Linked DNA regions of Arabidopsis thaliana. The protein of the gene in region 2 purifies or fractionates together with the protein of the main gene of each other region. This does not show direct contact. Each region holds a gene or a part of one and is shown on either strand. Other genes may lie near its edges.

Region 1 (7,248 bases), on a different chromosome or scaffold from region 2:
ATAATTGCATTATTTCGTTAACGTCCGTTTTTCTTTTTGCAGTTTACATGTATTCCCAAAACCTGATGACTGCGCATATAAATGAGTATTTTGTAAAATATTTAGTGGAGAAACCTAAACCGAAGTTCAGACATGACACATATAGACATGCTCTAAATATTACTTCCTCTTATAATATATTCATGACCAAGTACATCTTGTCTTCTTTGGATGACTAATTAGTAATTATGGTTTAATTTTTAGCTTTCAACTCTTTTTTCAATAATTAAAGTCTATTTGGTTTTTCAGTTAAGATTTTTTTTTTTTGGTTAACTACTAGACTTTTTATGGTGAGATGGAGTTGAACTCACTGCTCAAAACTCTTGCGAAGGTGGCAACGCAACATGCGCTAATGAATCCGGTCAGTTAAGAGTTTATTTCTTCGTCATCCAACTCAATTCTACTATCCAATATCAGGATTCCGATTACTTGTATTTCTATAATTATTGGTTATTTTCATTCAATTTAGGAATCATAGTTTGTCTACACATATAGAGTCTATGAGAAATTTTTTATTTATATGATAACTAGAATTTATTCGATTGGTCCCCTAGAGAAGCACATGCATTGTTGAAGATAGCTACTATCATATCTATATAGACAAAGAACAAGTCACAAATGTATGTCTCTATCCAAATAAAAGAGAACCAAAACTTCGACAGTACAAAAGAATGATAAAACCAAAACTATTAATATGTATGCACATCTTATCACACACACAATAGACAATACGAAAGTATCTAAAATACTAGTTAATTAGATGAACTAGTTAGAAGACGGCCAGTTCGAGTTCATCATTACCTTTGAGAAACTGACTTAGGCATCGTGAAATTGTCACGTAATCTTGATCCTTGCAAATTTATTGTTTACCTTTAATTAGTGTCACTTCTTGGATTCGTTTAAACTATAATTTACAAATTAATAATTATCTTATCTTCTTGGATAATCAGAATAATCAGTCACTTCTTGGATTCTAAATATCTTGTTCAATCATTATCTTTTACATATTATATAAATTTGGAATTGATTGTATGTGTTATTATATAAGATTTGGACACTGATATATAACATGATCTTATTGATTCTTGAGTCGTTAGTTCTGAAAAATGTTTGTGTTTTCTTAAATGATGGAAGATGAAATAAGAAACAAAAAAGATGAATTAATAAAAAATCAATTCAATACGATATCCGTCATTTAAATTATTATTTTCTTTTAAAAAAAATCCTTTTAGTCAAGAAGTAACAATAATATCTCTATTAATAAGTTATTCATTTCGACTCCTACGTACTAAATTCTTTGTTTATCCTTATATCTGTACGGATCCAATGAATAATCAAAACATGCATTTTAAAGTGAAATTACACATTTTGAAAGATTCTTATGAAGATGCATTTGTTGTTGATGGAGTCGTTGAATGAGTTTAATAGTATACAAATTTTTGTTTGATGGAGTTGCTAAATGATTTAAGAAGTAATTCAGGATGCGAATGTTTTTGTGTGAGTGTCGGTTACTAGAAAATTTGAAAATATATTTTTGGAATATGTTTAGATGATGAATCAAAAGAGGAAAATGACTTAGAAGGATTTGGAAGACTTGATGAACGTGAAATTCAATGAGAAAAAAGGAAAATGTAAATAAAAATTTATTTTTTCTTATGGAATTTGGAAATCTTTTCCTATAATGATTAAAAAATCGTTTTGGATATATACGGAGAAGCTGGAGACGTTTTGAAGAAGCAAGAGAGCTGAGATATAAAGAAGAAATCTTTGAGAACTTTCTGTAAGATTGTGTGCAACTTAGTTTTGCGGGTTTGTGCTTGTGTGATCAAGTGGTTTTGCTTTGAAGTCTAGATTTAAGGATAGTTTAGTTCAGGGTTAGGTGTTATCCTGATTAAATCTAGATTTTGAAGGAATTTAATTAAGAGTAAAAATTATCTTTAAGGTTTCACGTTTTAAAAGAGAGCGGTAAATCAAGAGATTTGTGCTTATTTTACGCGTTTGCAAATTTGTTGTAATTTGTTTTATTATTCTACTGAAATTGAATCTAAACTTCTCCCGGAAAGTAGGAAAAACCGAATCTCGTTAACAAAATTCTTGTGTCTTTTCTTCCTTGCAATTTATATTACTTCATCCGCACTTTCAGCTTAGAATTTAATCTTTTAAAGTCTCCTAAAATGGAAGATTCGGCTATCATCAGTTGGGACACTAAAAGCTATTGTTTTGGAATTGCTAACTAGAACAAATTTACAGACTTGTGAAAGGTGAACCTAATCCTCAAACTTGGATTCTCATTTTGAATTGCTAGTACATTCGGCAGGCAATATAATTTTTTCCTGAAAAGAAATGTATTATAGTTCCTAAAGTCATGACAGTGAAATAAACTCGTTCACAAGAATGATCCAAACTCGTCAATCGTCATAGTCTCCTTCTATTCAAATATTTCTCTTGTATTTGGCATTTCAAAAAAAAGAGGAAAAAAACACGAGATTGGTCGTTGTCTCGTAAAGGAACCAAACAAGGCCTTAAGTCCCACATTGGATTCTCCCATCGCACCGCTATTCTCTGAACCCTATTTTGTCCTTTTCATGACTCAATCCACAAGAACACAACTGAGAATTAGTGACTTACTTGCATGCAACACATTTAATCTGCAAATAGTACTATTGGTGCGTAGCATGAGTAATTACTAATCATAATGTCTTATGAGTTTATTTAATTAATTTGTTACAATACAAAGTAGTGGTCAATGAATTAAAGATACTAATGACTTAGTGAGTGTGCAATTGTGCACGCAAAAAGCTCTTTAACCTGAAAAAAGAAAGTATCATATTTGTTGGGATGGCTTTAGAAGTAGAGGCCTCCTTAAAAAAAAGTCATGCATTGAAATTCTTCAGAATCCTTTTAAAGCATATAAAAAACATTACATGTGTGCATTATAAAATTGTTGATTTCTTCTCTTTCCAAATAGTATGATTTACCTCTTTTTATTTGAAATTAAAGATTTTTGTATTAGATCCCACCATATTATTTGTTAATAAAAACTATATTGGCCCACATCTAGAACATTAGATAAAGGAAACAATAATTATGCAAATACATAGTTTAAGTTATTAACCTATAAACGAGTTTTACCAACAACAAAAAAAAAACCTATAAACGTGTATAGTGGATTTGCCCAAAAAAAACGAGTATAGTGGAGAGTCAAAAGCTTGCCGTGTGGACTTGTCACAAATTATTGGTAATTTTATTATTATATTTAGGTAGTTGAGCTAACTGGTAAGATTTGCTCGCGTCACTTCTCCTTTAGTCTCCGTAGGCTTAATCCAAGGCTCTGAGTATAAAATTTTCTACATCAAATTAGTGTTTTTATAAAATCTGGACTGATTATTTGTTGATATATGTATAACCAAAATATTAATGAAACCAAATGTGATGAACAAGGCTAATTTGGAAGATACGCATTATCATAATTAGATTCATTATCATATATTTTTAACTCTAAGTCTAATAACCAAAGTTTTCATGGCCTGTAACTAATATATAACTAGAGAACTATATTAAAAAAAACTCAAATCTCACTAACGGCGACGTAGAAACACCGTCTCTAAATCAGAAGGAGGCGTAAAAAACTCTCTAACGACGTTACTCCGACATTTTAACGCCGGCCGTCGTTTTCTCGGTGCTGGTGGACATTCCAATAACTCCGGTATCTTCGTTTCCTTCGCTGTCGGTGTCGTCGAACACTCTTCCTCTTCGTTGTAGCAATCTTCTTCAACTTCGGTCACTATCTCCGGCGGCGCTCTGAGTTTCGTCTTGACTGGTTTCAACGAAGCCCGAATCGAAATTCCGGCGATAACCCATTTCTTCCCGTCGGATTCTAAACCTCCTTCGAATTGAGATTTCTTCGAAAAACCCATCTCTCTTTAACTAACTCAAAACCAAGATAAATGAAAAAACAGAGTAAACCCAAAAAGAAAACAGAGAGATAAAAACAGAGACTTGTTCCAATTAGAAGAAGAGGAATCGGAATAAAATGAAAGTGGGGAAAAAGATTAAAAATTTGTGGTTGGTCAAATTTTTTGGTCTGAAAGGAAGAATTTTTTTTGTTGTTGAGAAGAATGAGAAAAAACAAATGAGAGGAAATTGAGATAAAGAGAGGGTTTAAATAGTCAAAATAATATTCAGGAGAAAAAAGCTTTGCGAAGAAGATGAAGAAAAAAAGGGATAAAATTGGAAATTTAAAAAGAATAAAAATTTAGGTGCCCGAGAAATTTTACGGGCAGAGTCGCAACCACCGTCTTTTGTTTGGCGCCATAGTTTGAGAGTTTTGGTTCGCAACGGCTCTTTTTCCCGCCTTTATATCCTTTTAGTGATTCCCGATTTTGCCCCCAGTTTACTTTCCCGCGAGGTTTCTTTCTTTAGGTAAGAGAAGAACCGAAGAAGAGAACATCGGTTTGGTTTATTTACCCTCTTTGGTTCTAATCGGTTATCGTTAATTTACATTTTTTTATGGTTTTCTCTGGGTTTAGGTTCAAACTGAAATTAACTCGGTTTAACTTCAGTTCGTCAGTTTGTTGGTCATCAAAACGACGTCGGTTTTGACACACTGAATTTTCCCCATCACTTTAAATATTCATCTGCCTTCTCTCTAATTTTGGTTGATAAGATTATCAACAATCATGGAATCTGCCGAAAACAAAATCTAGTGTGAATCTTGTGGAAAATGAGTTTGGAATTTATATCACTCACGGCTTATTCATCAACATTATTAAACTATATGATATATACAATTCAATAAACAGCAACGTTAGAAAACATCAGTAGCATATCAAGCCATGTCAAAAACTAGCTAACCATGGAGGCAAACAACAATATATTATATATCTATAACTAATCGATCATTAATACAGTTTAAAGTTATGTTCGTAATTAAGGTGTGCCATCATCACGGATTCATGCATGCACTTATATATACATAGAAGCCATTATGTGTACAAATACAATGTCAATATCAAACAAACAATATATATGCAGCTAATTCTAGTCATTAGAAAGATAAGGATAAGAGAGATTGGCGGGTGATTATCAGCATGATGGATTGCTCTCCCTCTGGTTCTAGAGTCGAACATGAAGATTGGAACCCTAGAAATCTTAAATCCGATACGTGCGATATGAAGTATAAGTCAATGTTGCATTGTAGTTATTTTATGATACCAAGAAATTTGAAATTTTAGGTAAATTTTAGTTATTATTCCGGACCATGAGACGAAGAGATACAAATAGATAAAAGGTCCATCCCAATTTCTTTTAGACAAAAAAAAGATGATGTAATCAAATACATCTTTTAGTTAAGGTTTACATTTTACAATTTACAATTTTATAGTTAACTTTGATATATTATATTCTATATTTCTTTATGTAATAAAAGTAATCAATATTCAATTATTAGGCGATAGGATGAATGGACCTTTGAGAGACATGAATGGTGATAGAGACAAGTTGAGGAAGGTCGGGACTAGCTAGGGCTGACATTGTGTCACATAAGCATTAGATTTATTCGCATTCAAAACGTTATGAAAATTAATGTAAAATATGAAGAAGAACAATTTGAAATGTTTTTTAACTAAAATTTGAAATTGAAAGTAACGCATATTATATTGGACCTACAAAAGAGCCGACCCTTATCTATTTTAGTGTGAAAGAAATGCATGGGACCCTCTTAGTCAACCAGCCTTATAAGACCTCTTTGGCCAATTCTATTAGTTACTTATCGAAAGTGTTCAAATTGCCATCGAACCCGAATGTCCAGCAAGACCTTTGACATATCTTATACATAACTCGCCAATTCTCGATCATTTATCATGTAATCTTGTATCCAATTCGGTTGTTCTGATATATGAGGGTTTCTTTTAATACAAAAATGACTCTAACATGTGTTTAATTACGATGATTTGTAAGGTTTCGATTGTTTTTCGAATTAATTACGAATTTTGCTATTCTTCTTATGGCATTTATAGATTTTGCCATCTTTAAATAGTTTTTAAAATTTTATCATTTTTCAGGTATAAAAAAGTGATTTAACTTGTGTTTTACCCATTATGATAAAATTAGTCGGGTTTTTTTTTGGTTTAGTATTTGGTATAAAATACGTGTTTAAAAAAAAAATCGTAAATACGTATATCTTAAATGTTAAAAATGGCAAAATTGTAAAAGTTTAGTAAAATTATCATTTTTAGAAAAAAATCCAAAAAATGGCAAACTGGACAACAATCCCTTCTTCTTCATGTGAAAATTTTACACTTCACATCTTTATCTTGACTTGTGTATCTTACTCTCGACCAATTTTCGTTCCGTGATACATGAATGTTTAGAAAATATATCTATATAAATATTTAACATGTTTTATACTATTTCTTTATTTACATTGTATGAAAAATTATTTATCAATTAGTCATCTATAAATTACTATTCTCTCTGTTCCTTTTTATTTGATTTTCTAGGAAATAAATTTGTTTTAAGAAATTGATTTTTTAAGGTTTTTTATGCAACATTTATTTGTTATTTTTGATGAAGTGTTAACTTTAATAAAAATGATTGAATATCATTGGTTTAAAGTTATATGAAATTGTAAAACACACAAAATAATACATTTAAAATCAACTTTAATATGCTTACCTTAATATGTGTGTTTTTCCTAAACAGTCAAACAAAAATAAACAAAGAGAATATTATACATGAAATGCATTTAAATGAATAATTATTCAAAAATAGTGTATAAAGAAAACGTAAACCTAGTCAAACGATTATCATGCGACACATTTTCAAAGTTATTCTAAGAGTATGAGCTTATAGTCACTCTTATCCATATTGATTAATCTTTATATCGCGTTTGTAACGCTCGGGCCACCTCCTTGCAAGTAAATAACAGTTCTGGTGAACTTCTAACGAACCTCCTTGCAATTTTGATCATATCTAAACCAATCTGGATCGGATCATTCTCTTTTAGAAAAATTATTAGGCTAAATAAGTGATGCAATCGTTCACGCAATCAGTTCATACGAAAAGGTAAGATACATCACACCAAAAGTATATTTCATTGTATATTATAACTTGCTTTTATGAACCCAATCCGAATTGTTATCATTACCTTAAATTTAATATTGGGCGCAAAAGCAAAATTGGATTTATCTTCGATAATATTGTTCTGGA
Region 2 (7,646 bases):
CATAGAAGATACATGAAATGACAAAAGTATCCATCATCCTTTCACTTTTGACCGACGACCTGCATTAAACGGCTTCACTTTGAAAATTTTTAGCCGCTTATTCGCCAACTAAAAGACTTGTCCGTACTGTCAACAACACATGTAGGAAGTAGGATCTTTCATGTGAAACACCCACGTGTATACTACTTGCATGCACGTGTGCTTCTAAACCCGTCAGACATCAGTAAAAATTTATACTAAATGGGCCGTATCAATCTTCATTTGTTAACTTTGGCCCAAAACGGCTCAACAAATAGTAAATACGTCATCATCTAGTGATGCCATCTTCAATTCTCAAGAAACCAACGCTTATAGTTACTTATTTTCATTGTTGTTTCTTATGCATTATGGTGATGTATGTTTTCAGAAATTCTAGCTACAAAACTGCGAATAGCGAATTGTTGTTTTTTTGGGGTCAGTTTAAGTTGATCCAACTTAAGCTTATCATCATTTTGAGATTCTGAGTGCTATTTTATTTCAAACATTATGGAACTTCATATGATACTTAGTTAATGTTTACATGCTTGATTGAAGATTTAGGATCTAATACGTCAACGATGATTTGACTTTTCAAAAATTTTGAGACTTTGAGATTTTCTACTGTAAGACTCTGTTTGTTTAGTCGTCTCATATGTGTCTAGTAATGAATATTGGAAAATATCAAATGTTGGATTTTCAATGGACTCATCACAATCAGAAATGATGATGAAAACTTTGGTGTGAAACCTCTGACTTGTTACATGAACTAATGAACAAATTTGTAAAATTGTTATATTAGAGTATCCTAAAAAATATCGTTCTGAAGCGACTAAGAGCATGATTATAGGTGATACTCATAAAGTATCACTAAAAAATGTTTAGTATTATTTATAATGTTTGTTTAATAGATATATATATATATTTTTTTTGTTTTTGGTAAATCTGAGCAATCAGAAGATGGCACGTCAGATGATACTAGTATCACAAATATCACTGGACTGATACTCATCAACCTCATTCCAATTGTTTTGTCAATATAAAAATAATTTTTGCACTTGTGATACTTAAAAAATATCACCTATGTACATGGTCTAATAATCTTAATTAGGTCTTAATGATACACTGGTAAACTCCATTTGCATATGTTTGCCTTAGGGGAACGATTGACTCTTCAACATTTATGATTTATGTCTTTAGAATTCATAATTTCTGTTTTCTTTTTGTTCTATTTTTTTCTTGAAAGTATTAATGTGAGTTTCACACAAGATCTCTGAGATGACAGAACAAAAGTTTATGAGTGGTTTGGTTTTGGTACATTCACTCAAGTTCAACCAAAACAATCTAATTTTATTTTCTTTATATCTTTTTTCTGTTGAATCTCTTCAATGCTATTTGGTCCTGTGTGATAACAAGACTCTTCATGGAAGGTATATTTATTTAATGTTATGACATGACATAGCAATGGCAAGAAGTAGATAAAGTGATATGTGTACGTAATGTTATGTGTATATCCCAACCTGTTTTGCTTTTCACCACAACTGAATTGAACACAAGTACTTGGACCAACCCAAGTGTTGGTCTCTCTGCATTTCCTCTCAAATCAAACCTCCCAAAAATAGAACAAAATTTATTAGAACATTTTTTAAAAATAAAACTTAAAACTTTGGAGGAGTAGCTAACAAACTCTCTAGTTGTCCAACACTATTGGTCATCCAACTAACTCAATCGTTGTCTCTTCAATTCAAACTTCAAAGGACAAATTTCCACATACCTGTACTAAGTACTAAACAATCATGTATGTGATGTTTTAGACCAATGCCAATAGTGTAATGGTAATGTTTGTGTATAATCTTTGACTGTTATCTTTCTACTTGCAAAATGCAGAGGTTGTGAGACGAAATTAGATCATCATCAAGCCATGAAAAAGGTAAGATCCAGCGGAAACTTTTAATGTAAAAGAACTTTGTTTTTAGAATATCAAATAACGAAACGTACACCATTTGCAACCGTCCATAAACACAAGAACCGAGAACCATATAGCCGATAATATGTAAAACATGGAAACAGATTTTAGGTAACTAAACCGACACATTTTGATGGGTTGTTGACATTATTAGCGAGGACTACTACTAAGCACATCGAAAAACATTCGGTTTATTGAAGATAGCCTCATCTGCTGCTCTTGCACTCTTCTCCTCTTGAGCAAAGGCTCTGAAGATGGTGAAGACGACACTGAAGCAGAAGCAGACACAACCCACGACTCATTCGAGCTATCAGAACTGAATGACGCATCAAACACACCGATCGGACTAGCGGGTTGTTGCATCCAATTCATCATCCTTTTCTTGCTTGGACTGTGGTCTAACACTAACTCATAGCATTTATTTACCTTCTCCTGTTTCAAGTATAATGATGATAAAATCAGTTCTAGATCCTTAAACCTTACACTAATCACATTGGCATTTATTGATCAAAGACACCGTAACCACATACCGAATCAACTTTGAGTAGAGTCATGAGCTGAGATTGGTATACAGCTTCGTCACACATCTTCAAATCTCTAATAACAGAGACCATTATTGCAGTGGCTAACACAGAAGGACTAAAACTCAGAAATCTCGAATCTGAAAAGAAACCAAGAACAGAAAATTTAGCATCCACAACAAAATCAAGTAGATTCAAGAGATCTAAACCTAATGGTAAACATTACCAGGAATAATGGAGAGTAATAAAGATTCACATCTACTCAAGAACTCCAATTGATGATGAGATTTAAAGCTGTATCGTCGAATAATGTGATCGAAAAACGAGATTGGAGTCACAGGATGCATCCTCCAGTCAAGAGTAGACAGAACAAGAAGCTCCATTCTCTGTATAGTCTTAGCTTCAAAGACATATCTTGCTTCTTCCACCTTACAAAAAGACCAAACACAAGTCTCAAAAATCTGCAATTTCACAAAATTGAATCTGAGAAAAAGTGAGAAACTTACTTGAAAATCTAAGAGAAAAGGAACACGGATCTCTTCAACCTTAGCAGCTAAAGACAGACAAGCCAAAGCAGTAAGCTGAGACATCCATGGCTTATCTGTCTGAAACTTCCTGCTTGTAATAAACCTATCGAAGTAATTAACAGCTAAAAGAGCCGTCAATGAATTAAACCCATAATGAGATTTCACTTTAAAAATCCAATCAAGAGCCTTTTCACGACACAAAACCAGAAACTCATCATCTAAGATTTCGTCATAAAGACACGGTTCTTGTTTCGAAATCAAAGTTGATAACTCATCATCATCCCACAACATATCATGATCAGACAAACCCAGATTTAAAAAAGGAAACTTTTCAACACTCTCGTCGCACAAATCTACTTGTTCGTGAAACTCACTCTCTTCCTCACAGAAAAGACCATCAAGAACACAAAACGGTGCGTTTTGACTCTCTTCCTCCTCTTCTAAAGCCATGATTTTTCTCTTCCGAGAAGAAGATGATTGCTAATTCCTTTGTTCATTCTGCCATTAGAGACTCTCTGGATTCTTCACTCTGTGTGAGATAGAAAGAGAGATAAAAGAAGTGAAGACAAATGCCAAAGAAAGTGAAGGGTTTTATTTCACGCTTGTCCTCTTTTTTTTTTCTTTTTTTTTATTAAAAGATTTTATGTTTTTTTTTTAATTTTATTTTTATTTTCTCTCTCTGCTTTTATTTTGTCTTTTAATATTCGGATGTTTGGCGCGCGAGAAAATTAATGAAACCGTACTTCTTCTTTGTTTTATTCACAGAAATGGAAAAATCTTTTCTTTTGTAATTAATTTCCTATCTCCATAAATTAATTATAAATTGAAATCATAACTATGAATTAATTAAAATCTTTAGTTTTAAAAACATACGTACTATTTACAAAAAAGCTTATACTCACGTGCTTATTGAATGTGTAGTTACACGCTTTTGATCCCTGTTCGTTGGATGCGAGTAAAGATACTCTCTGTTAGAGCGTGTGATTCACGCGCTTATGAGGTGGTGGTGGAAGTTTCAGTGGTGGATAAATGCGTTGACCATTAATTATATTTGTCACCTTTCGGTTTCAAGCATCGATGATTACAAGTGAAAAGATTTTTTTTTTTTTTTTTTTTTCGTCATTAGTACTTTGATTTTGGTTAATACAACATAATTTTACATAAACTCTGAAAATATCGTAATGTGTAGAGTCACTGTCATTGTGTTTTTATTCGATTTAAAGATTTATTAATCGTAATTTATTAGTAGCAAATTTTTCACTTTTTTTTTTGGTGAATTAATTTATGATATACGGAAAAAGAAGATTCAAATTGATATATATAATCATATAAAATCACCCGTGGGGTCATATATGTCAGAGGAAAATCCACGTGGACGAATGGGAAGCTTTATATGGTCAACGAGCTGACATAAACATTAGAAAAAACAAAAACATAATTAACTAGGAAAAAAGGACCTCGTTCTGTTAAAACGCTTGCGCTTTATTAGTAAACTACGTTACTTAATTTTTCTTTATGTAACCTATAAAGTTAATTTTTAAATATAATAGCTTGATCTTGATGAGCATTTCAAGTTTAATTCTCACTGCTTTATATGCTAAAAAATCTAAAGACTGAGGACCCAAAAAAGCCGATTAAAATGTAAATGTATTCGATGTACTCGTAACAAAAGTTGTACCAAACTTTAACGTTCAAGATACATAAATGCAACTTATACATATAACTGAGTCTATTTATAATAGTTGTGGAACAAACATTATAGTTAGTAGTACAAAACATAATGTATAATAAATTAAGCTTCTGTTTAAATATTTAGTACTCAATAGTAAACTGAAAGATAATTTCATATTTTACATCTATAGTAGTAAAAGTGTTATTATAAGCAGAGTGAATGATCCTGTTGTCACGTTTACTGCGTTCCTATCGACCTAGACGCGGTTAACAAAGCAACAATTGTTACTTTTTTTTAACACATAGTATATATATTGATGATCTTTATCGATTGTGAAAGAAAGCAATGTGTGGTAAAAAAAAATTGAAAAAATGAAAAAGCAAAAGACAAATAAATAAGGAATGGGGAAAAGTTAATCACGAGAGGAAGAGGCCATTGGTAACAAGCGGGAGAGTCTGAGATTTGTACAAAGTTTAATAGCGACTTCTCATTTCTTACACATTTCATACTATCTTTTAAAAAGATAAAAAAGAAAAACAAAGAAATTCCTTATCATATCGCTTTAAAATGTTGTCTGTTCATAGTCTTTTTAAAAAATATTCCATTTGTTCTATTATGTTTTTTTTGTTGATGTGTAATGGCCAAATAGGTCTACAATATGTTCCATTAGATTGGTAATTTTGCGATTTTATACATTGTTACGATACCATTTTTCAGTTTTTACCATTAATACAATAGTAATATAAAATTATATAAAAACTTCTTATATTAAACATGTATATATATATATATTATAGAACTTAAACTTTCAATTGTTTTACTCTTAAATTTTGGAACAAGTTTTTATATAACAAAAAGAGAGTAAAAGGAAAGGAGTATAATTAGAGATAATGAAATAAAGGTTGTAATCTAGAGGAGACAAGAGTTATTTATAATAATGGTCCAAGAATCCGGACGGTAACCTTTTATTTAATGGGTCAAGAAGCTAGAAGATAAGAAGTGAGAGGGTATTGTTGTTTAAATGACAAATAATAAAAACCAAGATGAAGTTGATTAGATTAATAAGAGGATGTGTGTGTAAGTGTTGTGTTGTGAATTGATTAGATCGAAGAAGGTTTTTGGGTCATAATTAATAATGGCGTCTTGTCTGCCAGAGACCAACGCCGTACGCTAACTTTCGATCTCCTACTCTAACCTCTTGTTTCTTTAATTCTACCACTAATACTATAAGATATAAGTGTACACATAATATTTCATTTATAATAAACTTATTTGATGTTAGGTGTCACCCATTTGCTGTTAAATGTATTGCCTAGCTTTGCTCCTATTCCCCTTATAGTGTTTTGTGCATTTTCCTTTTTTTAAAATACATAAGAAGTCCCATGAGTTTTTGGTCTACCTGTTCATAACATGTAAGACTATATGGAGTGGCACCTAATATAGTCCATACAGTGAATAACTTAGTTCATACTGGGTCAAAGGACATAACATGGTAACTTAGTCTTGTTCATACGGTCTTACTTCATACTTTCATAGGTTCATATATAGTTGAAAGTTCATACTCCTGTACAATAAAAGTAAAACTAAGAGCATCTTTATTGGGAGTATCTCAATGAGATACCCAACAAAAAAAAAAAATTAGAAAAAAAAAAAGTAAGAGAGAAGAAAGAAAAAGTAAAAGAGAAGGAGAATTGAGTTCCTCGTAGGAAAAACTTTGAAAAACTATTCTCATCTAAATTGGACAGCTGTCATCGTATTATTAGTTCAAGTATTAAATAACAATTAATATATCTGTTTTGACTAAAATTTTTTTTTTTTTTTTTTTAGAAACTTTTCTTACTTTTATAGATGCTCTAATACATTCACTTCTTGTTCATTAAGTGATTTTTGTTTGGTGCAAGTCAATATAGTATGTTTTCATGAAATTGTGTTAGCATATTGTTTATTTATATATATGGTTTAGAAATCGAATTAGATCGGTTAAATATGATTTGAAAAAAAAAAAATCGGTTTAGTCTAAATGGAAAAGTTGATTTATTTGGTGTAGTGTCTTTTTTTTTGTGTGTAACCAATTGGAATATAATAATAGTAGGTAGTAGTAAATAGTAACTTACTATCTTGTGAAATGGTAAAATTGCACATGAATTCCGTAATAGATTAAATACCAATCATGTCAATTTGCAATTGTGTTAGAAAACTGCTTACCACTCACATGTTCACAATTTCTTTACATAAAATAAAAGATAGAGTAATGTTTATACATTCCAAAATGTGTAAGATAATATTTTTGCATTTTACATTTTCAGAACACAACATAATTTGCATTATCTAATTAATTTTGCATTTTACATGTAAAGATAACAAACAATAAAACAAATTTGCGTTTCGTAATTTTGTTCACTAAAATATTATATTTTTGATCAAATGTATAGTGGCGAGTATTTTTCAGTCTCTTTGATGAATTCATATTTCTAGAAAAATGGTTTAGTGATGCTGGTTCAATTTGGATAGTTAGCAACTAAGCATGATGATAAAATGTTAGGTAAGAGGTAACATTATATACCTTTACTCCAATCCAAATAAATTTGTTAGAGATATTCATAATTTTCCATCATTTTGGTACGTTCTCATTATTACACAATCTAACATCATTACCACCAACCTAATTACTGGCACCAGTTCATAATAATGCATACAGTATTAAGACACCAATATACAAATGACTACGTGTGTCAGAATTCCTTTGAATCTCTACTTAGTTTTTTGAGTCAACCCCAACAAGTTAGCCGTTTATAGCACTCATCACTGTTCTTGCTATAATTTTCGGTTGGAAAAGAAGAGACAAGCAAAAGAACATATAAATATAAGTATATCCCTTATATTTGTAATGATTTTAATTTGTTAACGAAATTTTGCAGTTCTATAGTCATTTAACTGGAGTATCT

Evidence for each region. Proteins that work in one complex are often made in the same cells at the same time.
Region 1: the proteins of CYCD3;3 (region 2) and AT5G40460 purify together in Arabidopsis thaliana (affinity purification with mass spectrometry, with the first as the bait; one large-scale study listed by BioGRID). This does not show direct contact.

What each region holds. Positions count from the first base shown.
Region 1 is NC_003076.8:16,199,173-16,206,420, reverse strand, and holds AT5G40460 (cyclin-dependent kinase inhibitor SMR3-like protein), read right to left. Parts: upstream 4,280-7,248; 5' UTR 3,957-4,279; coding exon 3,618-3,956; 3' UTR 3,063-3,617; downstream 1-3,062.
Region 2 is NC_003074.8:18,563,191-18,570,836, forward strand, and holds CYCD3;3 (CYCLIN D3;3), read right to left. Parts: upstream 3,645-7,646; 5' UTR 3,480-3,644; coding exon 3,009-3,479; intron 2,931-3,008; coding exon 2,729-2,930; intron 2,643-2,728; coding exon 2,512-2,642; intron 2,414-2,511; coding exon 2,132-2,413; 3' UTR 1,944-2,131; downstream 1-1,943.